Notamacropus eugenii: one gene and its partner. The protein of the gene in region 1 interacts with the protein of each later gene in a pairwise test. Links are inferred from orthologs where the notes say so. Each region holds a gene or a part of one and is shown in the gene's direction. Other genes may lie near its edges.

What was found.
Region 2: the proteins of MIF (region 1) and BNIPL interact in a two-hybrid assay, tested with the Homo sapiens proteins (2 studies listed by BioGRID and IntAct). The link is inferred for Notamacropus eugenii from reciprocal best matches to the Homo sapiens genes MIF and BNIPL.

Annotation. Positions count from the first base shown.
Region 1 is NC_092875.1:1,503,344-1,518,465, reverse strand, and holds MIF (macrophage migration inhibitory factor), read left to right. Parts: upstream 1-9,937; 5' UTR 9,938-10,414; coding exon 10,415-10,522; intron 10,523-10,860; coding exon 10,861-11,033; intron 11,034-11,354; coding exon 11,355-11,421; 3' UTR 11,422-11,537; downstream 11,538-15,122.
Region 2 is NC_092873.1:304,902,392-304,918,559, forward strand, and holds BNIPL (bcl-2/adenovirus E1B 19 kDa-interacting protein 2-like protein), read left to right. Parts: upstream 1-8,351; 5' UTR 8,352-8,493; coding exon 8,494-8,525; intron 8,526-9,258; coding exon 9,259-9,354; intron 9,355-9,503; coding exon 9,504-9,568; intron 9,569-9,772; coding exon 9,773-9,994; intron 9,995-10,981; coding exon 10,982-11,164; intron 11,165-11,346; coding exon 11,347-11,449; intron 11,450-11,594; coding exon 11,595-11,726; intron 11,727-12,360; coding exon 12,361-12,649; 3' UTR 12,650-12,667; downstream 12,668-16,168. Other genes in the region: exopolyphosphatase PRUNE1, read left to right, coding at 4,026-4,184, 5,426-5,857; C2H1orf56 (protein MENT), read left to right, coding at 14,111-16,168. UniProt on the Homo sapiens protein: May be a bridge molecule between BCL2 and ARHGAP1/CDC42 in promoting cell death.

The DNA of each region.
Region 1 (15,122 bases):
CCCTTATCAGCCAATGGACTCGACCTTTAGTAAAAACAGAGCAAACTCAGTGCCAAGCATTCCGCCAAACATTCGGGGAATCTTCTCCCACAAACACACCCAGAGTACTCAAGGTTGGGCAGAATGGCCACAGATTCAGAGTACAGCAACAGAGACACCTGTGTAGAGGACCCAGGTACTGTTGGGCCTTTCTCTGGAGGGTCCTGGCCACAGGGCTCTTCTGGGCACAGCAGCTCTGTTGGTTGGATCTCTTGGCTGATCTGCTGCCCAGTTGCCATGGGGCTGAGAGTGGGGTGTTTGCATTGGGGGAGGGGGACTCTGGGCTCTCTTCTGCTGGGGCTGGGGCTGGGGCAGACAGCTTTTACAGCTTTTCTCCCTCCTTCCCCAAGCCATCTGGGTAGCTCTAGGTCTATTAGTCACCGTATCTAGAAGTGGGGCAGGGAGTGTTCTGGATTTAGGGGTGAGTACAATCATACCCTGGAGGCAGGCGCCCCAGCCAGACTCTTCCAAATACAATTAAACTATTCCAACCTCCCACACCTTCTAAGCACCTACATTGTTGAAACCTGGCTCCCAGCCTGACGGCTGGCCATTAGACTGCACCAGTCTATCTCAGATAGAGAATTCCTTAAGGGAGAGGAGAGAGTTTCTCCTCAGTGCCCCCCCTCACCTAGCAGTAACCCCAAAGGGGCTGACAACAAGGGAGTGACTAACCAAGAATGTGGAAAGGCCTGGCCCCAGCTCTGGGGCTCCTGACTCCTCAGGACAGAAGGGGTCCCAGTGCAATGGAGAGAGGTACTGACCCTCCAGACCTAGAAAGAAAGCCCTCTCAAAGGGGCCTCTGCCAAAGGCTAGAAGCTCTTCCTTTGTCTGAGGGCTGAGGGAAATCAGGCTGGCTGGGGATGGAGTGGAGGTGGTGCAGACAGTGCCCTAAGGGGTGCTTTTCCAATACTCTGAAGCTCCTAAAGTGCTTCCCCCCTTTTCCTGAACCTAGACCAAAGAACTGCTTTTGCCTCCCTTATCCTGTGTTCCCCATCCTTTAATGTTTGACCTATCTCCTGCCCTGTCCTTAAATCCTTAAACCATAAAGATTTCCCTTTGTCTCCCTCATCCTAGGTCAGCCTGTCCTGTCTTTAATCTTTAACTTCTATAAAAACCTTTAAAATGACATCATCGTTCTGAGACCTCTCTATAAACATAACTCCCCCAAATTCAGATTCTCCTTTAGCTTTCTTGCTAAGGAGGACTGTGATGCTTTTTCATGTAAAATAAAAAGCTCCCGGAGGAGCCAAGATGGCGGAGTAGAAAGATACACATATGCTAGCTCCAAACCCACAGCCCATAAAATACCTGTAAAGAAGAACTCCCAACAAATTCTGGAGCAGCAGAAGCCACAGAACAATGGAGTGGAGGAGATTTCTGTTCCAGAGAGACCTGAAAAACTGACCTGAAAGGTCCATCACGCACTGGACCCAGAGCAGAGCCCAGCCCTGCCTTGGCCACGTGGCACCAAGGGGAGCAGATCCGAGCAGGCTTCAGCGACAAAATCTCCAGCAGCCACACAGGTCCCTCCACCCACAGGCACCAAAGGTCAGTGAGAGAGTCTTTTCAGCTCACTGACAGGGGAGCAGGGTGTCTCCATAACTCAGGTCCCCTTGGGAGACAGCAGCGGAGGCAGCAGCACACAAGGGCTCCCAAAGCAGGCAGAAGCTTGGATCCATTGTTGAAGGTCTCAGCGTAAACCCCCTGAGGGAACTGAGCCCCGGTGGTGGCTCTACCCCTACTGGATCATCTGAACTTAATCTCACACTGAATAGCAGCCCTGCCCCACTGAAGCCCTGAGGCTGGGAAGCAGCATTTGAATCTCAGACCCCAAGCGCTGGCTGGTTGGATCTGGAGGCGAGATGGGTGTGGAGAGGACACGCAGAAGTCAAGTAACTGGCTGGGAAAATGCCCAGAAAAGGGGAAAAAAAATAAGACCATAGAAGGTTACTTTCATGGTGAACAGATATCTCCTCCCTTCCTTTCGGATGAGGAAGAACAATGCTTACCATCAGGGAAAGACATAGAAATCAAGGCTTCTGTATCCCAAATATCCAAAATAAATATTAAATGGGCTCAGGCCATGGAAGAACTCAAAAAGGATTTTGAAAATCAAGTAAGAGAGGTGGAGGAAAAATTGGGAAGAGAAATGAGAGAGATGCAAGAAAAGTATGAAAAGCAGGTCAAACCTTGATAAAGGAGACCCAAAAAAATGCTGAAGAAAATAACACCTTGAAAAATAGTCTAACTCAATTGGCAAAAGAAGTTCAAAAAGCCAATGAGGAGAAGAATGCTTTAAAAAGCAGAATTAGCCAAATGGAAAAGGAGGTTCAAAAGCTCACTGAAGAAAATAGTTCTTTCAAAATTAGAATGGAACAGATGGAGGCTAATCACTTTATGAGAAACCAAGAAATCACAAAACAAAACCAAAAGAATGAAAAAATGGAAGATAATGTGAAATATCTCATTGGAAAAACAACTGACCTGGAAAATAGATCCAGGAGAGACAATTTAAAAATTATGGGCCTAGCTGAAAGCCATGATCAAAAAAAGAACCTACACATCATCTTTCATGAAATTATCAAGGAAAACTGCCCTGAGATTTTAGAACCAGAGGGCAAAATAAATATTGAAAGAATCCACCGATCACTGCCTGAAAGAGATCCAAAAAGAGAAACTCCTAGGAGCATTGTGGCCAAATTCCAGAGTTCCCTGGTCAAGGAGAAAATATTGCAAGCAGCTAGAAAGAAACAATTCAAGTATTGTGGAAGTACAATCAGGATAACACAAAATCTAGCAGCTTCTACATTAAGGGATCGAAGGGTGTGGAATATGATACTCCAGAAGTCAAAGGAACTAGGACTAAAACCAAGAATCACCTACCCAGAAAAACTGAGTATAATACTTCAGGGGAAAAAATGATCTTCCAATGAAATTGGGGACTTTCAAGCATTCTTGATGAAAAGACCAGAGCTCAAAAGAAAATTTGACTTTCAAACACAAGAATCAAGAGAAGCATGAAAAGGTAAACAGCAAAGAGAAGTCATAAGGGACTTACTAAAGTTGAGCTGTTTACATTCCTATATGGAAATGTAATATTTGTAACTCTTGAAACTTTTCAGTATGTGGGTACTGGGTGGGATTACACACACACACACACACACACACACACACACACACACACATACACGCACACAAAGACAGAGAGCACAGAGTGAATTGAAGAGGATGGGATCATATCTTAAAAAAATGAAATTAAGCGGTGAGAGAGAAATATATTGGGAGGGGAAAGGGAGAAATGAAATGGGGCAAATTCTCTCTCATAAAAGAGGCAAGCAAAAGACTTTTTAGTGGAGGGAAAAAGAGGGGAGGGGAGAGAAAAACATGAAGTTTACTCTCATCACATCCCACTAAAGGAAGGAATAAAATGCACACTCATTTTGGTATTAAATAAATAAATAAATAAAAAGCTCCTATTGACTAAAAGAGAAGGTCTAAGTAAAACCTGAGCCATCCTCTCCCAAAATCTAAACCTCAACAGAGCCAAAGGAGATTCTGCACCGCCTGGGCCTGGCCCCCAGCTCAGGCCAGGCTCAATCTTTGAAAGACAAACTTTCACAACCGGTGTTAACTTGAAAGTTTGGTGAAAGTAGAGGCAACAGGCTAAAGGTATACATTTTTATTACACGGATTCCATGGAGCCAATCATTATAATCTGGCTGCTCAGTACAGGGATAATCAGGCTTAAATACATTGTACCGTGAGAAAGAATCTTTCCTAGTTGAACAAATTGTAAATTTAGTGAGACCAGACAGTTAACAAAGTAGTGTTACTTGGGATTTATGATTCCAGGCTGTGTAAATTTCTTCTCTATAACATCTCTATGACATACGATAGAGAGAAATCCCACCACTATGCTGGCAGACATCTTGTCGTAAAGAGGTCTTTGAAATTGCTGATACAGGAAAGGGCATTTTTTAACAGAGTTGACAAAGTTTCAATTGAAATTACAACTCAGGATATCTGTGTTTTCCTTACCATTAACATGCCATAACATAGTATGTGTCCACAAAATATTAAGATATGGAAAACGTCCCATTATTTCAGAAAAAGTGTCTTAGGCTAAAGGTCTCTTAAGGAGTGTTGTCAGCCCTATCTGCTTTGTTGACATAGCAAAAGCCATTCTTTGAATTTACTTCAGAGAGAACAAAGAGACTGTCAGCTCCAGACTCTTCTTCATTCAAGCTCTGGCTCTTAGGTGTGTGTTCATTGCCGAAGAAAACCATGCCATCAGAGAAATAATGACATGACTTGCACTTGACTTTGTTTTGAGTGAGGGAGGGCTGTGCAGGTCACCAGCCTCACTTTTCCTCCAGAGCCATCTGAATCCAGTGACCAGATATTCATCAGGATGATTGGAGATGACCCAAGATGAGGCAGTTGGGGTTCAGCGACTTGCCCAAGGTCACACAGCTAGTGAGTGTCAAGTGTCTGAGGTGAGATTTGAACTCAGGTCCTCCTGACTCCTGCACTGGTGCTCTATCCACTGCACCACCTAAGTTCATTCTGATAGGTTAAAAGCAGAAAAGGGGATGACTAATGTCGTCTGGCTGACCAGATCCAGGTGAGAGGACCTGTGGTTGGGACATTCCCCACAAGAGGAGTCTCAGGCATATAGTGAAAGGGAATGCATGCACAGGTATACACACCTAGTGGCCCTGTATAAATTCTGTCACAAAGAGCTATGTGGTTCCCCTTAGTCCAGTGTCCCTCATAGCATCTTACTATAAGTTTGGATCCATTCTCCCTAGGGAAAGTGTATATACAAAGAGAGCAGGCACTTGGTTTGGGGAAGAGGCCCACAAGGAATTTTGTGCCAACTTTTCTCACTCCAGCCTTCACCAAAAACTAATGGAGCCTACTGTTCGATTCTCCCCGGGAATGGTGGGGTATTGGTGGTGGCTGATGGAAGCTCCTGCCCTAAGGGTTAGCATCCAGAATCCAGAGAGGAGAAGTCACAGCGGAGGGACTGCCACATGTACAAGATAAAATTCTTAGGGGCAGCAAAGGGCCTGGTGCAGGAGGAGAGCCCTCCCCTTGAAAGGAGTGATATCACAGAAGAAAGGAGGCAGCTTAGAGGTGAGAAAAGAAGGGGGTAAGTGGGAAAGAAGTGTGGGCAGCAGCTTGGCATAACAAAGGCCTGATGTCTGGCAGGTAAAGACCAAGAACCATCCCCCCAGTAGCTCAAGGGTCAAAGGGTCCAGGTTTTCAAAGGGGTACCCTAGGAAAAGATTGCTCCAGATCACAAATGGCAGAAATACAAATGGAAGCAACTTTGTTTGGGGTGTGTGTGTGTGTGTGTGTGTGTGTGTGTGTGTGTGTGTGTGTGTGTGTGTGTGACTCAACTAGCTACCTCAAAAGCTGCAGGGGAAGGGGTGGGGTTCTGGAGAAGAAGGAGGAGGGGCCTGGAAGCTGACCAGCTCCCCTAGATGGAGGCCCCAGGAGGAAGTCACCATGGTGAAAGGTTCTGCCTTGGCACAGAAAGGGTGTTCCAAGACCCAAGCTCTGAGGCCACTAGCTTAGACAGACTTTTGAAGTCCAGACAGTCCAGAGGGATTTGGATCCATGCCCCCAATGTTACCAAATTCTGCATGCCTTTTGCCACAGAAGGGAGAGACTTTGGAGGCTGTAGGAACGTTCTGCACCTGGTTCTGGTCCTTGTGTGCAGCAGCCTGTGAGACTGGCTTCAGGTTCTCAACTGAGCAGAGACATGCCCTCCAGAGACTTCCTGTCTCTAGCATGGATACCTCCTTCATGGTCTGGTGTGAGGCAGCCAGGCTGGGGCTCTCTCCTTCTGAGGAGGCCAGATTTCAGTTCTTTGTTGGCCTCTGGGTTCATTCTGTCCATTGATAGATGGAGTTGGAGGTTTTGACCTTTTGAGCATAAAAAGGTCAAGAGAATGAGTCTTTGAGATTCTGGGATTCTTTGGTCCGACCGGCCCAGCCTGGATGCCAAAGAGTTCCATGAGCCGACAAGTGACCAAATGGCTGTGACCAGTCATTTGGCATGAAGTTAGTGGGATGAAATCTCTCCAAGCCTGAGTCCCCTCTCCCCAGACAGAGGGGAGAATGTGACCTCTGGAATTAAGCAGGAATGTCTGTATCTTAGAAGTAAATATCGCTTTGTGAAAGCTAAGTAAAGAGCTAGGTGCTAGTCACCAGTACCCAGCAGTGAGATACCATTGCTAGGGGGGTGGGGGGCTCCAGCCATAGCATTAGGGAAGAAATCCTCCCCTACTTCAGGCCCAGGAGGGGCAGGCAGGACATGATGGAGCAGCCTGGCTCTAGGGGCCCCCTGGGCAGACTTCTGTCCTGCATGAACAATGTATCTTCAGACACTTAATGTGTTTTTACGTGACTTGAAATGGGAATTCCCTTTCTACTACCACTGCTTGGATTTTGTGATTGTTATATGGAAATGCAGTTGTTTTCGGAGGATGTATTTTGTACCCTGATACTTTGATGAGGCTATTAATTTTCTCCACTAGTACCTCTGCTGATGCCACTGTACCTTCAGCCAGTGGTGATGGTTTTATCTCTTCTTCCCCTACCTCCATACCTGTCCTTCCTCTCTCTCATCTCAGGGCTGTTGCTCTCCTTTCAGGGATGATATCAAATGAGAGTGGGAGAGAGGCCATCTTTGCTTCAACCTCACATTTATTAGAAAAGGTTCTAGGATTCCCCACTGCATGCTATGCGAGAGTTTGGCTTTAGATAGTTTCTTGTTATGGTCTTTTTAGAAGTCTCTCTACGCATGTACTTTCATAAAAGTGTTGTATTTTGTCAGAGGCTTTTTCTGCATTTATTGGGATAATCATTTGGTTTGGGAAGTTTTGAATTTTAATGACTATGTTGATGGTTTTTCTAATGTCGAATCATCCTTGCATCCTTGGTATAAAGTCCACTTGACCTGTTTGATAGGATTTTGTTTAAATTTTTTGAATCAAAGTTCATTAATAATATTGGCCAAGGGTTTTATTTTTCTGTTTTATCTTTCTCTGATTTAGGTATTAGGAAAACGTGTGTCTCATAAGAGGATTCTGGTAGTGATGAGGGCTGGACCGAGGGTACCAGGGGCAAGTCGTCTGGAGAAGAGTTCATACTCAAGCATTGTTGAAGTCAAGGTAAAGATTTATTATGCTTTTCAGCAGGCGAGAGTTCTTATGGAATCTGCAACCTTAAAGAGATACAGGGAAAGTTTATATAGGATATTCTATAGGATCACTTGTGTCAAATATGCTAACTAGGTGTTTTGGGGTAGGATTAGGGAGTGGTCAGTTCTTAAAGGAACATGCACTTTGGATATCTACTGCGCAGGTATTTTACCCAAAATTCATCAGGAAATAGTCCAAGGGGGGCTGCCTGGGGGTGTGGTTTTAGGCCTGAAACTTCACTAAGTCAACCAATGGTCAGGACTGACCAGGAAAAATCAGGCTTCTCTCATCAATGTCTTTTTAGACAAGATTAATGTAAAGGAGTATAGGTAAGAATACATATGATTGGTCAGCGAGTAGTAAACGTCGTTATGACCCAGTACACAGCCAGTTCAGTCAGTACATAACTGGTTCAGACTAATAAGTTCTATAGATGCCGCTGGCTTTTGTATTAGGAAGGGAGAAAACAGTTGTTGCTGGGACAGGCCATGTCCTTGGGCTGGGGAGAAACTACCTGGGAGAGTGTTTTGAGGCTAGGGAGAAATGTGATTTTTAAAGAGAAATGTGATTTTAGAATTGGGGCCCAAGTACATGCAACCAAGCATCCCATCAATAGGATGCTTGGTTTCTCAATTTTTCTGTTTTTGAGAATGATTTGTGAAGCATGTGTATGAACTTCTCATATTTTTCCCAATTACATGTAAAATTAATTTTTAACATTCACTTTTAAAATTTTGAATTCCAGATTCTCTCCCTTCACTCCCCTCCTCCCCTCTTGAGAAGGCAAGGACTTTGATATAGATTAGACACATGCAGTCACAAAAAACATGCATGTATCCTCAATTGTTAAAAGGCTAGCTAGAATTCTGTGAAGCCTTCGAGACCAGTGGGGCTTTCTTTGGTGCCTCCCTCACAACTAGATCTACCTTCTTTTCTGAGACTCAGTTTACATAGGATCTCTCTGGTCTTCTGCCAGTTTGGGTATTTTACATATTTGAGGGTATTCCTCTATTTCTTTGAGTTCTTGGTTTTGTTAGCATGTGACTAACTGTGCATAATAGACATTATTTTTTATTTGCTCTGGTCTAGCTGTGATTTCACTCCTCCTACCCTGATGACATGTTTCTATGACCAGGGGGACCCCAGTCCCTATCCCTGCTTCCTGGCTTTGTTGTGTGAGGGTAAAAGAAATCTTTGATCGATCAATGCTCAAAGACTTGTAGGGCATTTGGCATCAATCTCATCCCAAAGCCAGGCCTGAATTAAAAGGACGATGGCCTCTCAGCCCTCTTCCTACACCAGGTTGAGCCAGGTAATATTGGCAGCTGTTTGGAGGAAGACTGGGGATGAGGAGACTCAGGCAAGGCCATTGATTAGGTGATATTGCAGTGATCTGAGTGAGAAGTGATAAGGTGCTGAAGTGGGGTGTGGACTGCCTGCCTTGGCAAAGACAACTGATGGGAGAGACGCTGAGGATGGTAAAGCCAGGCGTCTTCTGTGATTAGATATGGTGAGAGTGAGGAGCACAGGCTGAGAGTTAGCTGGTCAACAGGAAGGTTTCTTTTTCTTTGGCTTGCTTAATAAGCTCCTTGCATATTCACTTCTCCTGGGGGTGGGGGAGGGGGAGAAATAGCACAAAATTAGGCACAATTCATATGTTAAAGAAAGGGGGAAACATATTAAGGAGTATGTAATGGATGTGTAAAGAAGATTGTGACCTAAAGAGGAAGCAATTGACAAGGGATAGTACAAAGGTGAAGTGGACCAGAGTGTATGTAGCAGAGGTGAAATGGACCAGACATGTAGCAGAGGTGAAATGGACCAGAGATGGTGCAGAGGTGAAATGGACCAGAGATGCTGCAGAGGTGAAATGGACCAGACATGTAGCATAGGTGAAATGGGTCAGAGATGTAGCAGAGGTGAAATGGACCAGAGATGTAGCAGAGGTGAAATGGACTAGAGATGTAGCAGGGGGGAAATGGACCAGAGATGTAGCAGAGGTGAAATGGGTCAGAGATGCTGCAGAGGTGAAATGGACCAGAGATGTAGCAGAGGTGAAATGGGTCAGAGATGCTGCAGAGGTGAAATGGACCAGACATGTAGCATAGGTGAAATGGGTCAGAGATGTAGCAGAGGTGAAATGGACCAGAGATGTAGCAGAGGTGAAATGGACTAGAGATGTAGCAGGGGGGAAATGGACTAGAGATGTAGCAGAGGCGAAATGGACAGGCTTTGGCACCACACTGGACCTGGTAGCTGACAGTAAGGAGTACAGGGTGACCCTGGGAGCCTGAGGGCCTAGGAAGATGGAGGTGCCCTCTGCAGTCATAGGGAAGGAAAGAGGGTTGGAGGGAAAAGGTGGAGTTGTATTGAACATGTGGAGTTTCAGATGTCCACTGGACAGACTTCCAGTTGGGGATGTCTGGAAGTCAGCAGAGAGGTCAGGCCAGGCCAGGCAGATTTGGGAATCATCAGCATGAGCTCATGGAGGCTGAGGAGATGACCCAGAGCAGTGGGACAGAGGGAGAAGGGCAGAGGGCCCAGGAGCCCAGGGGGACACCGACAACACAGGACTTGGCATGGAGGAGGGTCCAGCCGGGAAGCCCAAGGAGGACTGGTCAGAGAGGGAGGAGGAGAGACGGGGTGGTGGGGTGGGGGGTCGTATTTCCAAAAACCCAGAGAGGAGAGTGGGTCCAACAGTGTCGAGTCCGTAGAGAGGCTGAGGAGGAGGATGGGGAAAAGGCCCTTTTGGTCACTTCAGGGAGAGCCCCCGCGGGTTGTTCGAGGGCCCCCTTCGACGTGAGATCCCCAAAGCCAGAAGCTAAGGGCAGCCCTGGGTGCGAGGGGGGGGCAAAAAAGAGTAGGAAGAGGCCGGGGTTGGGGGGCCTGCGAGCAGCCCGGCACGCACGGAGGCGGGGCGGGAGAGGCCGAGTTCCGGAGTCCAGACGCGACCCCTCCTCCTCGGCTACCACATGGGCCCCAGAGAGTCACGTGGGCCGCTGGCGCCCCGCCCCCTCCGCGCGTGGGTCCCTCGCGGTGCTCGGTGCGTGCGGACGTGCGGAGGCTCACTCGGCTCAGCCCGGCCCTGCTGCTCGTTCCTGCTCGGCCCAGCCCCGCTCCCACCTCCCCGCGCCGCCGCCCGCTGGAGCCGCCGCCAAGATGCCGATGTTCGTGGTGCAGACCAACGTGCCGCGCTCCGCGGTGCCCGACTCCCTGCTGAGCGAGCTCACGACGCAGCTGGCCAAGGCCACGGGCAAGCCCGCCCAGGTACCGGCGGGGGCGGGGAGCGTGTGTGGACCCGGGGACCGGCAGGGGGTGGGGGCGCGGGGTGCGGTGGCTGTGATGGCGGGAAGGGGATGCGACGGGGGAGGGCGGGGAGTGAACTCGGTGGGGGGGGCCCAAGAGGGCGGGGAGGGGGCAGGGAGGGGGCTCGGTAGGGGGGGCCCAGGAAGGCGGGGAGGGGGCGGAGAGGGGGCTCGGCGCGGGGGGGGGGGGGGGAAGGCGGGGGAGGCGGGGGTGCTCCCCGGGATGGAGGGGAGGGGGCCCCGGCAGAGTGCGTAAATGGCCCAGGGAAGCCCGTGACCCCCCACCCCCGGCCCCCGCAGTACATCGCGGTGCACATCTCGGCGGACCAGCTGATGGCCTTCGGGGGCTCCTCGGACCCGTGCGCTCTCTGCAGCCTGCACAGCATCGGCAAGATCGGCGGGCCCCAGAACAAGGCGTACAGCAAGCAGCTCTGTGAGCTGCTCACCAAGCACCTCAAGATCCCGGGGGACAGGTGAGGGGGCGCGGCGGATCGGGGGTCCCCAATCTGGGCCTCACCCCCCTCCTTGGTCACTGGAGGCTACTGGGCAGGCAGATCGCTCCAGGCGCTCTCCAGCTTAAACTTTAAACTGGCCCCAGGCCTGCGGGTATTGGGGAGAGGAGAGGACTGGGGCCGGGGAATGAGGGGGAGGGGAGGATCTGGGGCTTGGAGGAGGACGGAGAAGGGAGGAAGTGGCCCAGGGCATGGGGGGAGGACTCTAGGGCCTTGGTGCCACAAGGTGGGGGGCACACAGGGGCCACTTCAGGGCCTGAGCACCCCCTTTTTCCCTGCCAGGATCTATATCAATTACTATGATATGAATGCTGCCAACGTGGGCTGGAATGGCTCCACCTTCGCCTGAGGGCCCCTGCTGGACACCTCCCTAATGGGCACACATCTGGGCCCATGCCTGTCCCCTTTGCTGTGTGATACCTCCCTGGTTCTTGTAGTTGAAAAATAATAAAATGCTTTAAGGTGTGTGTGTGTGTTGGTGTGTTAGGGCTGGAGTCTTGCTGCTGGGCGCAGGGGGCAGGTTGCAGTGTAGCCAGGCTGGGCTGGGCCCCTCCCAAGGCTGCTGTTGCCCAGTGCCAAACTATACAGTCTGGCACTGGAGGCTCTGTGCACAGGGTCTGGAGGAGGGGGTTGGGCTGGGGTGGCCTCCGGGACAACACTCAGACCCTGGACTCCTGGCCCTGGGCTGTGGTGGGCTTGGCTCCCAGAGGCCCTTGCTAAAAGTCTCCAATTTAGGCCCAAGATCAGGAAAATCTCCTAAGGGCCCAGCTGAGCTCCTTACTGCATCGGTTTAGTGCCAGGTTCTGGGGAGGGTTGGACTAGAAGCTGGGGGCTAATGGTGGGATCCCTGAGCAGATGTTTTATCTGCCATTGTCCACCTGAGGAGGGTGCCCAGGGATCCTCAGGTTAATTTCCTACCCTGGGTAGGTGGCAGCTGAGGTACTCCAACCTGCCAGGTTTAACAGTGCAGTAGGATGGTTGGGGCATTCACAGAGGGCCTGGGTGGCTTGGGTCTAGGGACAGGCCACCTGGCTCTGCTGCCTTTCCTACTTCCTAACTGTTCATGCACCAGTTTGGGGGTGGGGAGAGTTTGCAGGCCTCCTGTCCCACTCTAGCCTTTCCACAGTCTGGGCCTGCAAGGAGACCTGGGTCACTGCCTTGGGCCTGTCCCCTAGATGCAGCGTGCTTCTTAGCTTCTCAGAGCACCTCCTGTTCTATCCACTTAAAGTTGGAGAAACCAGCTTGGGCACCTGGCCCAGGGCCAGGCTGTGGGGCAGGAGCCAGATGGGTAGGACTGGACCCCTCACCTCCCCCTTGTCTGGTGGGGGCTCCAGCCACTCCTCTGCAGGGGGCAAGGCAGGCAACAGGTCCCTGCCCCCGGGCCTTGTCGAGACTGGTCACAGAGCCTTTGGGAGCCTGCTTGCTTCGCTGTAAAATGGGGAGAATGACTGTGTCCCCATTTCTTGGGGAGGTGGCAGCCCAGCCCAGTGCTGGGGGGACCATCCCCAGCAAAAGGAGTCAGAGCCAGGGGCTTCTCTGGCCTTTAGAACCCTGCATGGGTGGTAGTTAGGGGGTCTGGTCCCAGTCCTGGGCAGACCCCTTTATTCGCATCCTATTGGCGAATCCTTTATTCAGAGGTCAGTGGGGAGACTAGCCATGTAGGAAGGAACACTCCCAGGGCTGGACATCTGAGACAGACCAATCAGTGCACAGTTAGAAGGCGATGGCTGCACACTGGGCTCTGCGGGAGCAGAGGCGTTGGGGACCAGTGTAGAAAGCTGGTGTCTTAGGGAGCCTGCACCCACCCTCTGAACTCCTCTGCCTTCCTGGTCCAGAATAATGTAGATGCTGGGGGAGCATGGGGGCTGGACCTCTGACTGGTGGGGGAGAGCAGTGGGCAAGGTGGGAATCCTGCAACTCTAACCCACCCAGTTCAACCATTGACTCTTCCCCCAGAATCATCTTCCCTGAAGGGGTCCCACCCTCCTTCAGCCCCACCCGGCAAAAAACTGTGCCATCTCTGGGCACCGACTGGTGTTGGCTTGGCCTGTTTCCAATCTCCACTGATTAAGCACTTATGTGCAAGGCTGTTTCCCTCTCATAAACAGTGCCAGGAAAAGAGTGGGTCAACACACATATGCAGTTGAACTTAATCCAATGAATGAAGTAAGCGCCTACTGTGTGAGAGGCATTGGGGGGCAGACCGGGGCTCCTGCCCTGCCTGGGCCACCTCCTGGTCATCTGTGTGATCTGGGCAATGGCCCAGTCCCTCAGTGGGCCTGGATAAACAAGGAGTAGAGCTGGTGCAGGTTTGAGGTGCTGCATGTGGTCTCCTTATGAGGAGCTCCCCAGATCAATGCCTTCAGATTACCTTTCTGAGAGGGGGTGCCATGGATGAGATAGCATCATTTTGGGTGGGGAGGGGGAATAGGCAGGGCCCCCTGGAGGCCAAGGTCCAGGATTCCAGCTTGGCACCTTCCTTCCCAAAGCCAGGCCTGCACTGGGTGGGGGCAGGTAGAGTCTCAGAGATTTGAATTTTGTCAGCATTCTCATTCCCTGGGTGTAAAGCCCTTTTCTTCCAAGGCTCACCCCTTATTTTAGCTTTCAAGGTCCCAGTCTGCCCTACCCTAGTCTCTGGCTTCACCTCTTCATTTGGTCCTCTGCCATTTTTCTACCTGTAGACTACCTCGCTCTACTTTCTGGCCAGCCTGTATACAGGTGGGCATATTCCGCCCTCTTTAGAGTGCTCCCTCACTAACCTGCCCCTCTCTCATTGAGCCCAACTCCTTCAAGGCCCAGCTTTCCCCAGGTAGTCCCCCCAGGTCACCAAAGCCACATAGATCTCCCTCTGTCCTCTCTGCCTAGACACCAGCCTTTCTTTCCCTCTCAGCAGTACTCTCTAGAGCCTTCTTCTAGGGATCAGTGCAGAAGACCAGGGGCTGGCAGCTTGCCTCTCCTTACCACCTGGCCCCTGCCAACCTCTAAGTACTGTGATCACTCATCCTTGCATCTTGGATGAGTACATAAGGTCAAGAGCAGGTGCCCAGAGCCACAGTCCAGTGGCAGGAGGAGGCAGCTAGTGGGGGTAGGGGTGGTGCATCAGGTTCATGACACCTTTACTGAAGGGAGAGAGGATTTGATGGCCCCCCCCCCCCCTCTTCCCTCTCCTGTCCTCAAGCTCCCAGCTTTGTGGCCATCTCCATGGCATCATGTAATCCCTGATGGGAAAGGTTAATGTGTGAATTCTTTTATCCCTTTATGAAGTATGAACCCCTGTCTGACTGAGTTGGAGGGGGCACCCAATGATGCACTGACTGGTCTTGCTGGTCCTTTGAAGACAATGGGATAATTTACATTCAGGCAGACACGGGGTTGCCGGAGGCCTCACTCACTTTCTGATGCTACATTGAGTGCTGGGGGCAAAGGAGGGGCTGGGAGAGCAGCAAGAGGCTGTCACAAGGAGTGTGACCAGGCCTAAGAAAGGAAGGCACTGATCAGGCACATGGAGTGTCAGGACAAATGCTCTGCTGCTGAATTTCCCAGCCACAGACAGCCTCCCAAAGCGACTATTTTATATCTCCTTTCACCCCTTGGGTTCCCTCTGTGCATGGGGATAAGAAATAGAGATTTAGTTGTGCCACAGCACTATTTCTAAATGGCGGCTCAGAGCTATAACCAAAGAGAATTACAGAAATCCTTTTGTTACAGTTTTCCAGAGGAGTCAACAAGTCAGCTGACAAACATTTATTAAATGCTAACCATGTGCCAGGCATTGGGCTAAGTGCCGAGGAAAAACGCAGAGCATAGAAGCGGCTGGGGGCGCCACAGTGCACATAGTATGGCACCACAGGGGCAGGAAAACTGAGCTCAACTTTTGCCTCCAATATTGCCTAGCTTTGCCTCAGTAAGGTGGGGATCTTATAGACCCTATGTCCCAGGATTGTTGTGAGGGTCAAGTACAAGTACTTCATAACTACCTGCTAGCCCCTAAGACCCAGAGCCCTGGAGCGTCTTGTGCCCCAGGTCACATATGCAATAGGTCTCCAGGCA
Region 2 (16,168 bases), on another chromosome or scaffold:
CTCAGAAGAGAGGTCAGGACAGAGTTTTGTGCACCACCATCTGCATGACTGAAGTAGTTGAAGCTGTAGAAGTTACTGAAATCAGCAGGTGAGGAACAAGAAAAACACAGAGAAGGATTTAGATCCTTAAGAATACCCACATTTTCAAGAGGTTTATCAGTGATGGGGAGAAGGAAAATGGGAGAGTAACTAAATAGTTTAGATGAGTTAAGAGAAGTAGATTTTTTTTAGGATTGGGGAGACCTGAGAGTGTTTGTAGATAGATGGGAAGGTATCTGTAGTGAGGGTGAAGCTGAAAATTCATGAGTGAGCAGGTCCTAGAGGAACAGTCAAGAATCAGATCAAGATGTAATTCCTACTTCTAGTATCTCCTCCAATTTATTCCACGTGGGTCTGACGTTGTCCTTCCCTACTCAGAAATATTCAGTAATTTTCTGTGGCTTCTGGGATAAAATGTAAACTCCTTAGCCTGACTTTTAAAGCCTTCTAAAGCTGAGCTCCTGCCAGCCTTTTCATACTTCTTTCACATTACTCTCCTTCACTTGTCTGAGTTCCAGCCTAACTGGCCTACAAGCTGTTTCTTGAGGCAGAAAGATAAGAGGTTCATTTCAATCTTCTAGACATTTATGAGGCCCCACTATGTGCCAGGCTGTGTGCTAAGTATGGGGGAGAGAAAGAAACAGTAACATCATCATGACCCTGAAGAAGCTGATTGTTTTTGCTGGGGTACATAACATGTACACAATTAAGTGTAGCAAAAGAAAAATTAAAGAGGCCATACTAACAAATGAGATTTGGGTTGGAGGGTTGAATTTCAAGATTGTAATGTATTTCTTAAAGTAAGCTCTAAGTCATGACCACATTTTTGTGTGGCAGAGATAGCATAGAGAAGGTTATGGAATTGAGCAGTTGTGTCATCAGGCTATTAGAGGACTTGTCATCATGAATACTGGATGATAGGGAAGAGAAAAATAAAACACTAAAGTAATTGAAAAGATTGAAAGAATGACCTAATAAACCCACATAATCACCTGCCTTTTTTACTAACAAAGCTCAATAGTGAGAGATAGAAATTTCATTTAATTTCATTCCATTATAAAATTTTGAGGAGTCTACCTGCCAAAACAAACCCAGGAACTATAAAACACTTTTCACACAAATAAAGTCAGATCTAAATAATTGGAAAACATCAGTTGCTCATGGGTAGGCCCAGGTATTATAATAAAAATGATGACTCTACCCTAAGTTAATTTATTTATTCCATGCCATACCAATTAAACTACCAAAAAATTATTTTATAGAGCTAAAAGAAAATAATAACAAAATTCATCTGAAGAACAGAAGATCTAGAATATCAAGGGAATTAGTGAAAAGAAATGCTAGGGAAGGTAGGCAAGCTACACCAGTTCTTAAATTGTATTATAAAGCAACAGTCATCAAAACTGCTTGGCACTGGCTAAGAAATAGAGTGGTAGATCAGTGGAATAGGTTAGCTACACAAAGCATAATAGTCAATGATTATAGTAATCTACTGTTTAATAAACCCAAAGACTCCACCTTCTGCGATAAGAACTCACTTATCCCAAAGAACTCACTGCTGGGAAAACTGGAAAATAGTATGGCAGAAACTAGGCATAGACCAACATCTTATATCATATACCAAAACAAAATCAAAATGGTACATGATTAGATATAAAAGCTGATACTATAAGCAAACTGGGAGAGCAAGGAATAGTTAATCTGTCAGATTTAAGGAGAACGGAGGAATTTATAACAAACAAGAGATAGAGAACATTATGAAGTGCAAATTGAATAATTGTGATTACATTAAATTGATAAGTTTTTACTTATCAAACTTTTTACTTTACAAACAAAGCCAATGGAACCAAAATTAGGAGGGAATTTTTACAAACTCTCTCTGATAAAGGCCTTATTTCTAAAATATATGGAGAACTGAGTCAAATTTATAAGAATTTTGTAGTGGAAAAGATTTGGAAATTGAGGGTATGCCCATCAGTTGGGGAGTGACTGAACAAGTTGTGCTATATGAATGTAATGGAATACTATTGTGCTATAAGAAATGATAAGCAGGTGGATTTCAGAAAAACCTGGAAAGACTTGAATGAACTGATGCTGAGTGAAGTAAACAGAACTAGAAGAACATTGTACACAGTAACAGGCACAATATGCAATAACTAACTTTGATAGACTTATCTCTTCTTAGCAGTACAGGGGTCCAAGGATAGCTCCAAAGGACTCATGATGGAAAATGCCATCCACATCCAGAAAAAGAACTATGGAGTCTGAATGCAGATTGAAGCATATTATTTACTCTCTCTCTTTTTTGTTTTTCTGTTTGTTTCTTCTTTCTTATGGTTTCTCCCATTGGCTCTAATACTTCTTCATAACATGACTAATGTGAAAATAGGTTCAATGTGAATATATATGTAGTGCCTGTATCAACATGCCTTCTTCAGGTGGGGGGAGAGGAGAGATGGGGAGAAAATTTGGAACTCAAGATCTTATGGAAGTGAATGTTGAAAACTAAAAATAAACAAATAAGATTTGAAAAAAAAAAAAAACTTGAAAAAAGAACGACCTAGACATCCTAGATGATGGATGAAGGGATAGATGGAGAAAGGGAAGAGATGGCTACATAGATGCACAGAAACAGAGACACCATTTATTATGTGCATACTATATGCCAAGCACTGTGCTGAGCCCTAAAGATATAAAAAAACAAGCAAATGTGACAGTTGAGTAGCAGAAGGAATGACCACTTGGGGAGAGGATAGTAAGGCTTGTAATGTCTTCAGGAGAGACCTGGATTTCCATTTAGGTGAAGGGGTAGAAAGAATACTTTTTGAAATGTTTGAGGATGTAGAAGAGTTTATTAATGATGGAGCAGGGATTCCAAAGGATCCCCAATAGTTCATAGGTGAACCAGGTTCAAGTGGGGCTATGGAAGATGATTTGTGATTAGAATATGGATTAAAGTTTAGGAGAAGTTCGTATGGGCATGCAACTTGTTCCAAGGCTTTATGAGCAGCATTGGAGAGGTAGTACAGTAGGAATTAATTTGAGGTGGCATGTGCCTTTCTTTGGTAGAACCTAACCATTAAAGAATTTACAGTTAACCAGGACCAGAGTTTGAAAATTTATGACTCCATCAGGTTTTCCCTCCAGGTGTTCCTCTGTTCATGGAACAGCTGGGCCTTCTTAGTTTTAGCTAGGACAGTTAAAAGGCTATTGAGTGTATGAGCAGCCTCCATGGGGTAATTCCTCCAGATTTATTAATTTATTATTTATGCCATTAATTGAGGCATAAATGAACAACAACATGGTAATGACTGAACAATGAAATTGTGCTATTTCAATCTATTGCACTATTAAAAATGTTAAGATTTGCATTGATAAGAGGAATATCAAGAAGTGTGAAAAGACATGAATTGATGCAAAGAATTATAAGAACAAAGTATATTGACAACTGTAAAAAATAATAGTAACAAAACTTTTGAGTGTACGTATACAAAAGAGATCAGATGGGGAAATAGTGTTACATTATTATGGTTATATTTAATTATTCAGATGATGTTATATTTGTATTTTTATTCCATCTTATTTGTTCATTTGTAGCAAGATACTTTTTAAAATATGAATGAAGATCATGAATATGCAAAGAATAAGTGGGGAAATAGTTCTCTTTTCCTGTGTCTGTCCTTTACTTTGTGTGCATGATTATTTTTCTGTTTGTATATAAGGCACCTAGAAGATGAGGAATTGTGACTGTAAGCTTTTAAAAGCTTATTGGAGACAGAAACTCTTAGATTTCTTCTGTATCTCCAGTTGCACTTCACATGGAGTTACATGCGCAATAAGATACATAGTGGGTACTCAATAAATATTTGAACATAGCAGGTAATTTTCTTTGTACATTAGCATACTCCATGAAAACATGGGTTTTTATTGATGAGTACCTCCGTATGGTTCTCACATCTCCCTTCCCTTTTTTTTTTCTTTTCCAGGTCTTCCTTCAGAAATCCAACCTCACAGCAGAGCTAGATGCCTTCTGCCAAGCTCATGGTTATGATGCCTTTGTTGCTATGACTATCACTTTCAATCCTGATAATGAACCAGTGAGGCATCTGGTTGTTTTCTGTCCTAGCATGGACCTCCAGAGTATGGTGAGTCCATAGCCCTTCAACCTAACTTCCCTCTAACCATAGGGTTAGGAACTCTGTTGATAGCTCTCATCCACCCTGAATTGACTCTGTGTGTACAGAAAGTTACCTTGATATAGAACCTGATTTTTTTGTTTGGAATGTTAACAGAGTTTATAGCCTTATCCTGGCTGTTGGTGGCAGGAGAAGTTACAATAGAAACATGAATCATAGTCTCTACCTTCAAGGAATTTTAAATCTGTTTGAATGGAGCTATTCTAAGTTGATAATCAGTTCTGGGTTTTCCTCTTTACTTAGTCACTCATCCTTTATCCATATCCACTCTCCATTCAGATCTTGCCTATTCCTTTCTATACCTGATTCTATACAATCCTCTGTAAAATTCAGGTGAATTCTTCCCACCATGAAAGAATTAGTTGGGTTATTAATTATTGGGTGATATTCTTATAGAAAATATTGTGGACTTGGCCCCTTTCCCAATCTTGTTAATCATCTGGCCCCATCTGCCCTTTTCTCACCTCTTGATGGTTACTGATTAACTCAGGGAAAAATTTTGAGGTAGAAAGGCGAAGGGATTTCTAGGGCCATATGAGATGTCAAGGAATGATCTAATCATAATCAGACACTTTTATTCACTTAAATAAGTTATATCCATCCTTTCCTTGGTTCCTTTCTCTACCCTATTCCCAGCTGCCCAGGCTGGACAATTTGATTCAGTCTCAGAAGGCAAAGGGTATTCAGGGAAGCAGGAAATGTCCTTCATTCCCTTTACTGTTACTGAGTCCAAGGCCCTTCTGTCCCTCTTCTCAGACTGTGCCAGTGGTGGGGAACTTGTGGCCTCGAGGCCACATGTGACCCTCTAGGTCCTCAAGTGGACCTTTGAATCTAAACTTCACAAAACAAATCCCCTTAATAAAAAGATTTGTTCAGTAAAACTTGGACTCAGTCATAAGGCCATACCCAAGGACCCTGTACCATATATCATCTGGATTGCCTCTTTTAGAAGACTGGTTTTTATTCTTCTCGATATGTTCTACTGTTTCCTCTTTCTGTTGCATTTGATTATTCACTCCAGCTCCACAGTGTTTTCCCTTTATTCTCCAGGTAAGTGCTTCTCTCTTCACAGCTAGGGACGGGTGTAAAATCTCAAGCATGAGGTTACCCCTTTTGTCTTTAGGATGAGACTATTTTAGGAGCTCAGCTCAGGAGGTAAAGTTCATTCATTCTTATCTTTTCTTCCTTAGATCTGTGGAGCCTTGGAATGTTCCAGCTGTCCACCCCTGAATCTGACTCCAGCCCCATCCCCCCACCCTAACCTCAGGGCCTATTTCCAAGGAAATGTTCTTGCTTCCAGGAAGAAAGTTCTCCCCATCCTCAGAGATGCCCTATGGGGGCATCCTGGTGCCATGAAGACACCTTCAGGGACGCCTGGGCCAGAAGGCTCCTCTCAGGAGCAGATAGATGATGAACTGGACAAAGCCATTAGTACCCTGATTCCCGAAATGATTCGAGATGAGGAGGAACCTGTGCTGCCCCCCACACCCATGAACAGCTTAGTAGACGAGTGCCCTCTGGATCGGGGACTACCTAAGCTCTCAGCTGAGGCTATCTTTGAGAAATGTAGCCAGATCACAATGGCACGTTCCTCTACCAGTCCTCCCCAGAAGAAGAAGTGACCTATGGTGTGGGAATAGGGGGGAAGTTGCAGAACAGAGTGGGAGAAGGTGCCCAGCCCAGCTTGAATGCATGATTTGGAATATGTAGGGAATTTCTGTGATTCTCTTCATTGCTCCAGGACCCAGGGCCACTATTCACACAGCTGTGGAAGGAGATACAAGTCAAAGATGTGATGGCTGTAGGGATGGTTGTCTACCTTCCCTGCCAGTTCTCTACCAATCAGCCAATTTTCTCTATTGATAAATTCTGGAAATCTGCACTGACCTCATTCTTTTACAACCCAGGGGTATAGCATCTCACACACAGATCTGTGAAAAGGTAGATATTAAGAAGAAAAAGAAAATGGTATCAGGTGAACTCCATCAATGTTGTCAGCCCCTATCTGAACAAAGACTGGGTACCTGACTGCGTATCCTGTGCTAGGTAGAGCAGAGATAGCTTTGGAAACTTACAGAGTTTTCAGCCTATTTATGAAATGTAGGACCATGATTTTTCTGTCTGCCACTATTGAGATGATAGTATTTAACTTGAAAGTTAAATTTCCATTCAGCTGGTTCCATAAAATTGGTTGTGGACTCTCTCCAGCATTGCAGAGGATTATGCTTGAGGCCAGATAGTGAGTCTCATTTTTCTGAGCAGGTACTAGGCTTTAGGGTTCTTCTAGTCCCCTTTTCCAGAGTGCCAGAGGTTCTTAAAGATTAGTACCTGATCACATCTGTGAGAGCTAATCAGTGAATCATTGTCACTTTCAAAAGACACTTTTCTCTCAAAACAGTAAAACTGAAGCAATGATTCATTCTCTGTGTCTCTGCCTCTGTCTCTGTCTGTGTCTATCTGTCTCTGATCTGTCTCTTGTTTCTCTCTTCCCCTACCTTCGATTTCTTTCACGTTTCTTACCTCTTTGCCAGTATTTCCTCTCTCTTTGTTTAGGAGAACAATTGGTGTTGTGGAAAGAATTGGACTGAAAGTCAGGAGATGTGATTTCTACTGACTTTGGGTTTTATTTTATTGATGTCCTTTGTATTTACATCTGAATTTGTATTTACATTTCTGAATATATCCCACCTCACTCTTCTACCCAGTGAATCATCCCTTGTAACAAAGATTTAAAAAGAAAGAAAACTTAAGTCTGTACTGTGGGACTGTGGGTGTCAGTCAACCTTGCTGAGCTTCTGTTTCCTACTATGTAAAATGAATTAATCTTTATCGAACACCAAGATTTCTATCAACTGTACGTCTTTTATCTGTCTCTCCCTCTATTTTTCTGTCTTCTTTCTCTATCAGTTTTTACTTGAGGATGTGAAGTGGGAATATTTCTCCCTCTCCCCAACTCAGCCCAGCAAGGTCCAGTATTGTTGAAATGTGTGAGTGTGTATGTGTGTGTGTGTGTGTGTGTGAGAGAGAGAGAGAGAGAGAGAGAGAGAGAGAGAGAGAGAGAGAGAGAGAGAGAGAGAGATTAGGCCAAAGGACTCAGCCTCATGTAGCATATCCAAGTATATGAATCATAGCATAGGAGCAGCCTTTCCCTGGCTCGCCCTCTGTTCTTCCCCTGTAGTGGCCTCCTGTACCCCTCCAACCGGCCTGCTTCCTTTCCACTTCTTTATGTTCCCAGATGAGCAGAGAAGGTGCTGCCATTAACTTTACTGAGTATTTAGGTATCTCCCACCTTTTGGCATGACATTGTCTCTCAGAGAGAGAGAGAGAGAGAGAGAGAGAGAGAGAGAGAGAGAGAGAGTGTGTGTGTGTGTGTGTGTGTGTGTGTGTGTGTGTGTGTGTGTGTGTGTGTGTGTGTGTGTGTGTAGACTGTTTCTTTGAAGGACGTCTGCAGCCATATGAAAGAAAAAAAGCAATGGCATAATCATTGAACCAAAGGAATTTGTGTTTTATAATTGTGGGGAGTTTTATTTTGCACTTTGTTAAGGCATTAAATGCATTTTTCCTGTCCTGTGTCATTTTTTCTTTTTAAAAAACTGAACTTTTACATTTTCTCCTTTTGCCTTCCTCCTATAAATCTCATCCTTCCCCTGCCCAGTTTTGCTCTTCAATATGGATGGTTAGTGACTGCCCCAACCCATCTCCAGTTCTCTTTATCTATTCCCAAAATAAATGATGCCATGTTCGAGCCCTTTTCTCTGTTAATAGAGACCTACACCCTTCTCTATTTTACCCAGCCTTGCTCACCCTAGTAAGGCTGCCAAGAATCATATCAGTTGTGCGACTGAGGAGAGCGGCCTAAAGAGGTACTTGCTTTCTCTTAAGCACCTCCAGAAGGCCAAGGGGCTGGGAGAGAAAGGGGAAAGGCCAGTTCCTCATATACACAGATTCTTTTGCTTTCATTCTACCCCAACCTACCTGTCCCTTGGAAATCTAGTCTGGGAACCAAAGCATCCTCTTCCCACCCACCCACTCCCCACACCCCTGCATAAAGAGGCGGATTTTCTTTGGGCAAGCCTCTTTGGGAGGGGAGGTGGCAAAACCTGTTTGAAGATGAGTTTACTTCCCTCTCTCTACCTCCTCCTCTTTTGGAGGCCATCAGAGCAGTCACTGAGACAGCAGCACAAGAGGGAAGAAGGAACAGGGAGCTTCATCCCCACTCCTCATGTTAGATATCTAGGGAACAGAGAGACTTGTGAAGATGGGAAGTTTACAGGAATCAAAAGATGTTGGGTAAGTGCTGGGCCTTCCCCTCTCACCTGGCTGTCTTTTGGAAACCTGTTATCATTGGTCTTGAGGGGGCATCTCTTTGAGTCCCATTAATTGGGCTCAAGCCAAAGCTCAGGGTGGTTTTATAGAGGAGATGGGACAAAGTCGTTACTTTTGGCAAAGAACAGGGATAGTTTTAAATAGAAAGTATAGAGACAGAAAGGACCCCAAAAGAGCTCCTTGGGCAAAATGGGAAAACATGATGATTCTATCCATCCTTTCAGTTCTAATCCACACTCTCCAAAACAAGGAAACTGGAACCAGGACCTTCTTGACTGGTTTCTTGTACCTAGCTGATGTTGACCTATACCTTGATTTCCCTGGCCCCACCCCACAAAAGTTTGGAGAAAGGCAGGCCTGACTGGTTGTCATCTTCCTTAACTGTAAAGTAACAAACAACTGGGTAGATCTGTTCTGGATTCAGGCCAGTTGCAATATAGACTGCCTCTCAAACTAACTTTGCAGGTGGGGAAACTGAGTTAGGTATAAGGTATTCAAGTTATACTTTTTCCTGTTTCTGTCCTCAAAACCAAAGAGTAGGGATCATCTGGTTCACCGAGAGAGTGGGAAGAGACATCTGGCCAGATTCTCTTATGGGTCTGCTGTTTATGCCCTTGGCTTCTTCCTATCACTGCCAAGAATAACGCTGCCCACCTAACCACTTCTCAATTCCTTTGTCCCTTGGCAATGGTCTCAGGGCTGGAGAGAATGTGGAAGCAGAAGAGCCGGGACCATCACTGAGATTTGGAGAAGTGGAATTGAAAGAAGAGTGGCAGGATGAAGAGTTCCCCCGGTGAGAGGATGGGGACAAGAGGCTCAGGAAACTCTGGGAACATAGCTGGGGAGACAGGAGGGCAAAGTTACTGTGGGAAGGGCAGGACTTAGCACCCGAGTCCCAGCTTCTTCCTGCTCTCTTCAACTAATTAATTCCCCACATCCCAGTCTGCTCCCTGAGGAGATCAATTCCTCTGAAGATCCAGAGGACAATAGAGAAGGTACCCAGATGGGTGAGTAAGGTCAGAGCTGGGTACCAAGCCCTGGTTTTTACTGTGGGGAGGGTGGGCCTCCCTTGTCCATCCTCAACACTTGCCTGGTTTTCCTTCCCTCATGTCCCTCTCGTTAGTTCTACCCTCCTCCCTCTCCCTTGTTGTTCCCAGGCTGTTTAATTTACCTTTTTCCTCTCTTCAGTTCTCTTCTCCCTGTTGCCCCAGGTCCCTTAAACACTTTAGCACTATGTGGCAGGCGTCACATGCGGAAGCGCCTTTCAGCCCCAGAGCTCCAGCTGAACTTGGGGGAGGACACAGGAGATAAAGAAGCCTCTTCCACCCTCTCCACACCTTCCCCACATTTTAGCTCTGACCTAGATGTGGATGCTTTGGAGACTCCCTCAGACTCAGAACAGCTGGACAGTGGGCATGAATTTGAATGGGAAGGTAGGAACTGAGGCTAAGAACTAAACTAGAATAACTGAGGACTGGTGGAATGAATGGATTGGGGTAGAATAACAGGGCTAATAGAGTGGGAGACAATTTTGGAGGCACAATAAGGGGAGGGGCCAGTGAGGGTAAAGATGTACTTAATAAGTCCGTAAGAGGCATAGCTAGTAGAGCTGAGAAATAATCATTTGAAGTTAATAGGATTGATCTAAGACATGAATTGTTCAAGTTGTTGGTTCCCCCACTGGTGATCTTCAAGCAGAGGCTGGATAACCACTTGTCAGGAATGTTTTAGAGGGGATTTTGGGGGGAGTAGGTAGAGGTTGGACAACATGTCTTTTAAATTCTGTGAACTAAAAGAGCAGTTAAAAAAGTTAAAAAAATTCAATAAAAATTGTACTGGACCTAAATTTGAGGTCCTCTCTCTGGACCTCAGAGTAAAATGAGGGGTACAACCTAGATAATCCTTAAGGTCTCTTTTAACTCTAAATGTTTTGATCCTGAAAATGAGGATACAAGTGGGAGATCAGTATGGGAATGGAGCTATAAGGCAATGGGTGGGGCTAACATAACCAGGAATGTGTGTATCTGTGCATTTTTAATATATTTAAATATAATGCACTTATAAATTTATATATATGTACACACATACATACATATTGTGTGTGTGTGTGTGTGTGTGTGTGTGTGTGTCTTTGCAAGACTTATATCAAAGGGGCAGGCTTTAAAAGTAATTAGTGGGTATATAAAAATTAAGTAACTGGGAGCTGGAAAGGACATTTCATTAGAGTCCCCAAATGGAACAAGGCCACCAGTTATCCCCACTGTGGGTACAACCGTGGCTATGGTCACTGAGAATTGGGAAATAATGGTTGAAGTGGGGTGATAGGGAGGTGTATGGGATGTAACTTAGTGGTCATGATCACTGCTTCTATTACACCCAAGAGTACTGAGGTGTAAATTTAGCGATTCCTGTCTCTTTAGATGAGCTTCCCCAAACAGAAGGCCTAGGGGCAAGTGAAGCAGCTGAAAGACTGGGCCAGGGTTGTGTATGGGATGTGGCTGGGGAGGATGGTCATCGGTGGAAGGTGTTCCGAACAGGACATCGGGAGCTTCGAGTGGATATGACAGTCATTGAACCCTATAAGAAGGTCCTGTCTCATGGAGGTAATAAATATAGGAGTTGGGTTCCCTGTAATTAATAGTATTTGAGCTGGGACTAATAGTCCCCTTCACCATTTTAACTTCCTAACTCCCTGTCCCTTTCCCTCTTGGTCTGCCCTCAAGCTACTTCTCTCAGACTTTACTAATTCTCTTTTTCCTCCTGCCCCTAATCTTGTCCTCCCCAGGTTACCATGGCGATGGCCTCAATGCTGTTGTCCTTTTTGCTTCCTGCTACCTACCCAGAAGCAGCATCCCTAACTACAGTTATATCATGGAGCACCTGTTTAGGTGAGGAGGGAAACCTGAAAAACTGTGGGGAGATTGGACTGAAGGAGGGAGAGGGAAAGAAGTCAGAAAGACCTATAACATAATCAGTCATCAACAACACCGTTTTCTACTTTTCATTCCCCTTCCCCCTCAATTCCACCCTCAGATACATAGTGGGGACTCTAGAATTACTAGTAGCTGAGAATTATCTGCTTGTCCACCTGAATGGAGGCACAAGCCGAGCCCAGGTGCCCCCACTGAGCTGGATCCGCCAATGTTACCGTACCCTGGACCGTCGGTGAGAAGCCTGTCAAAGATCATTATTCTTGGCTGTTTTTTACCTCCTCCTTTCTTCTCTGATCTCATTCCTTTCTCTTCCCTTGTTCTCCCTCTCTTCATCTTCCCCCATCCTTTTCTCTCTCTGCCCTTCCCTTTTTTCTTTCTTTCCCTTTCTCCAAATATTCTTTCTCATTTATTTTTGCTTTGTCCCTGCTTTCTAGACCCATGTTTCCTTTTTCTCTCAGCCTTTCTTGTTCTCCTCTATTCACTGAGCATGTGCCACCTGGAGTTCTGGTACAAGAACTCTGTGGAATAGAAAGAATGCAAGAGGGAGCAAAGGAGACACAAGAATGAGGAAGAAACTAGGAAACTATGGCTAGGGGAGTGCAAAGAAAAGGAAATTGTGAAGGCTTGGATTGGATCAGGGACAGAAGGCATTTCAGGAATTTCTTCAGAATGAGGAGGGCATGAGGGACAAAAAAAAGAAGTGAAGGTCTTAGACTGCAGCTAGGATGAGGGTTAGACCTCAGAGAGAGGACTGCAAATGGATGTTGATTAAAGGGGGTACCAAGAAGATTTGGAGGAGACCTCCCTCTGGGCTTGGGGCACAGATCAAGAAGAAGAATGTGATGATCCCATACTTTCTGCTTCAGACTCCGAAAAAACCTTCGTGCACTGGTGGTTGTACATGCCACATGGTATGTGAAGGCATTTCTGGTGATGCTCCGGCCTTTTATCAGGTATTTACTTTGGGGGATGCAGGCGTCCTGCTCCTCAGATCCACTGCCCTTTCCTCTCTTCCTTGAGTTGAGGACTGAAACTCAGATTTCCCACCTTCCCCTCCCTCATTCTGGTTCTAACCATTCTCCCCTGTCCCAACTAGCCATTGATTACCTTTGTCTTATGTATGACAGCCACTTTTCTAATCTTAAATGTACATGACCTTTCCTCTATCCTGAGTTCCAAGTTTAGCAGAAAGGTTCGTTTTCTGGACAGTCTAGGAGAGCTGGCCCAGCTCATCTCCTTGGAACATATCCACATCCCTGATGCTGTCAGACAGTGAGTTCTAGGAGGGACTCCTAGGGTGGGAGAGAGGGGAGGAGTAGACAAGCAGAATCTTGTGGAGAGATAAGAAATGAAAAACCTAGTTCTTCCCTTCAGAACTTGGAACTTAACTGGGAGATGCAGCACTCAAGAAAGTGACATAAGAGTTCTCTGTATTTGGCCCAGGCACATATGTTGGGTATAGGCTGGGTAAAATCCCAGAGAAACAAAAAAGAGTGGGCAGAGGAGGATAGGGTTAGAAGAGAAGACTCTCTTGAGGTGAGTTTGGAAAGAGGGGAGGGACGAAGATCGTGGGATCACAGATGGACAACTGGAAGGGGCCTCAAATGTCCTCTCTCTATTGAGGAGGGAACTGAAGATAAGAAATGTGGGTGCCTTGATCAAAATTACACAGGTAGTAACATGACTAATGTGGAAATATATTTAACATGATGGTATATGTATAATCTATATCAGATTACTTGCTGTCTTGGCGAGAAGGGTGGGGAGAGAGAAAATTTTGAAAACAAATCTAATTAAAAGTGAATATTGAAAACTATCTTTACATGTAATTGGAAAAATAAAGTATTATTAAGTGGGAGGGGGGAGATTACACAGATAGTGAGCAGCAAAGCCCCATTTGAAACCAAAATCCCTCATGCACAATGTGGGGGAGACTGGTCAGAGTTTTGAGAGGCAGATTTTATGTAGAGAAGCTAAGGAGTGGGGAAAAGTAGAAAGGACTCAGACATATATTTACTAGATCCATTCGTTCCCCCAAGTTAGAGTAGGGTCCACTTCTGTGGAGGTTCCATTCCACTCTGTCCTTTCTCTCTCCCTACAACCTAGGCTGGACAAGGATCTGCATGGCTCTGGAGGGACCTAACACTGATGTTTGAGTTGGATAATGGACCCTAGAACCAAGGAAGGAGACTGCCCTCCAGCTACTGAACCTCCTGAATTTATACACACATTCTCTCTCCGTCTCTGAGTGTCTGTCTTTCTCTCTCCCCTAATTCATTCACCCTTTTTGGATTTTCCTTTCCAACTCATCCAGGTGTTGTCACGTCTCAAATTTCCGGGATCCAGGGAATTCTCAACTCCCACCACGCCATGCCCTTTCCATGTAAGCCTAAGGGCTGGGCTGAAACAAGGCAGGTTTGGACTGAGTATTCACCTGCAGCCTGCTTGTGCTCATGACTGTATTAGGCGGAGTGAGCTGTCTGAGCTGCTTTTCTGCCTGTCTCAGTAGCTGTCTTCATATCTAGATTCTTCCTCTACAACAAACTGCAGTTTAATAAATTAAGTTACGAGAGAGGACTCAATTTTGTGAAGGAAACCTCCCCAGTTCCCATCCCAATGACAGTCACAATCTCCTTGCCTGCCAGTCCTACCTGCAACGCATGTCTGGTGGAAAGGTGTACCCAGGAGGCAGAGATGATAGGGGTCGGGGCGGGGCTGGGAGTTCTATGGCGAGGTCCCTCGGTTTCCACGCAACGCCCCAGGGGAAGTGTCACGAGCTGCCGGACTTCCCCTCAGTTCAAACGAACCCGGGAGTCCGGAACGAAAAGGGAGGGAGGGAGAAGGAAGCTGAGCCCCTGCCCCTTCCCTCCCCTCCCATCTCTACCTCTCCAAACTGCCTGGAAACCTGTCATCCCCATGATCCCCCCCGGCCGCGCGCTGCTCTGGGCCCTGTGGCTGATCCTGGGGGCCAGTGCCGTGAAAGCCAGCGTCTTTGGTCAGAGTCAGGGCGGAGCGGATTGGGCTGGTGGCAGCGAAGGGGACACCGGCCCGGCAAGGATCCCAAACATCGCGAAAAGGGATGAACCTGGTTTGGTCGGGAAAACGATAGATCTGGAGGAATCGGAAGACGACGAGCTGGCTGCCCCTGCTGCGGCTGAGCTCCTGGAAGACTCATTGTCCTTAGAATCAGGGGAGCAGCAAGAACAGGGCCTGGAGGAGGGCCAGGAGGTAGACGGGGATGAGAAACAGAAGGAAGACCGAGGGAATGACGAGGACCTAGCGCAGGAGGATGATGAAGACCAGGACCAAGAACTTAACGGGAAGGAAGAGCAGGAGCAGCATTCCAGAGACTCAGGGCAGGATCAGGGGCAGAACCAAGAACAGGGCGAGATGCAGGAGCTAAAGGAGGAAGGCGAGCAGGAACAGGAGAGAGACAGAGGGGGCCGAGGACGGGAAGAGGCGCGAGAGCAGATGCAAGGGCTGGAGGAGCAGAGGCAAGGCCAGGGGAAAGAGAAGGCTGCAGGGTTGGACCACGAGCTGAAACAGATGCAGGTAAAGAAACAGAAGGAGCCGCAGGAGCAGCAGCAAATCCAGGCTCAGAGGCAGAAACTGGGGCAGCCTCGGGCGAAGGAGCAGCGGCAGATTCAGGTACAGGGGCAGCCTCAAGTGAAGAACCCCCTGCAGATTTCGGTGCCGGCGGTAGAGCAGCAGCAGGCGCAGGAGCCGCAGCACATTCAGGCGCAGAAACAGGTGAGGGGGCAGCCGCACATTCAGGCCCAGAAACAGGTGAAGGGGCAGCCGCACATTCAGGCGCAGAAACAGGTGAAGGGGCAGCCGCACATTCAGGCGCAGAAACAGGTGAAGGGGCAGCCGCACATTCAGGCGCAGAAACGGGTGAAGGAGCAACCGCACATTCAGGCGCAGAAACGGGTGAAGGAACAGCCGCACATTCGGGCGCAGAAACGGGTGAAGGAGCCGCGGCAGATTCAGGTGCAAAAACAGAAGCAGCAGCAGCAGCAAATCCAGGCTCAGGGGCAGAAGCTGGAGCAGCCTCAGGCGAAGGAGCAGAGGCAGATTCCCCTGCAGATAACGGTGCCAGCAGTAGAGCAGCTGGCGCAGGAGCAGCCACAGGTTCAGGAGCAGACGGCAATGGAACAGCAGCAGATTCCAGTGCCCTGGGAGGGGCAGCCACAACTGCCGCCGCAGGCCAAGGCGCAGGAGCCAGGGCTTGTACTGGTACAGGCGCCGACACAAGGGCCAGTGGAGGAGCAGTTGTTCCTCGAGGCTTCTGAGCAGGCAAGCATGGGTCTGCGCCCTGAGCTCAGGAGTAACAGCTCGGAATTTTTCCCCAGCCCCGATGTCGGGGCCTATGAGCCACAGCAACCAGTACCCGAACAGGGGCTTTCCAACCTAGGTCAGGTTCCTCCTCCAGAGATGCACCTGATGATGCTAGCTTGGGGCCCGTGGGAATGTCATTGCCCCACAGGTACCATGAGCAGGGTTCGGGGAGGAAAGTTTTTGGATTTTACTGGGCGTCTTCGATCTGGACCCCTGAGTCGCCTGCAGACCCAGCGCCAGCCCTGCACTTATGCCCGTTGCCACTGTAACCAGGAGAAGAAAGAATGTCCCTTAGACCACGTCTCTTGCTCCTCCATCCCTGGTGCCTGCAACCGC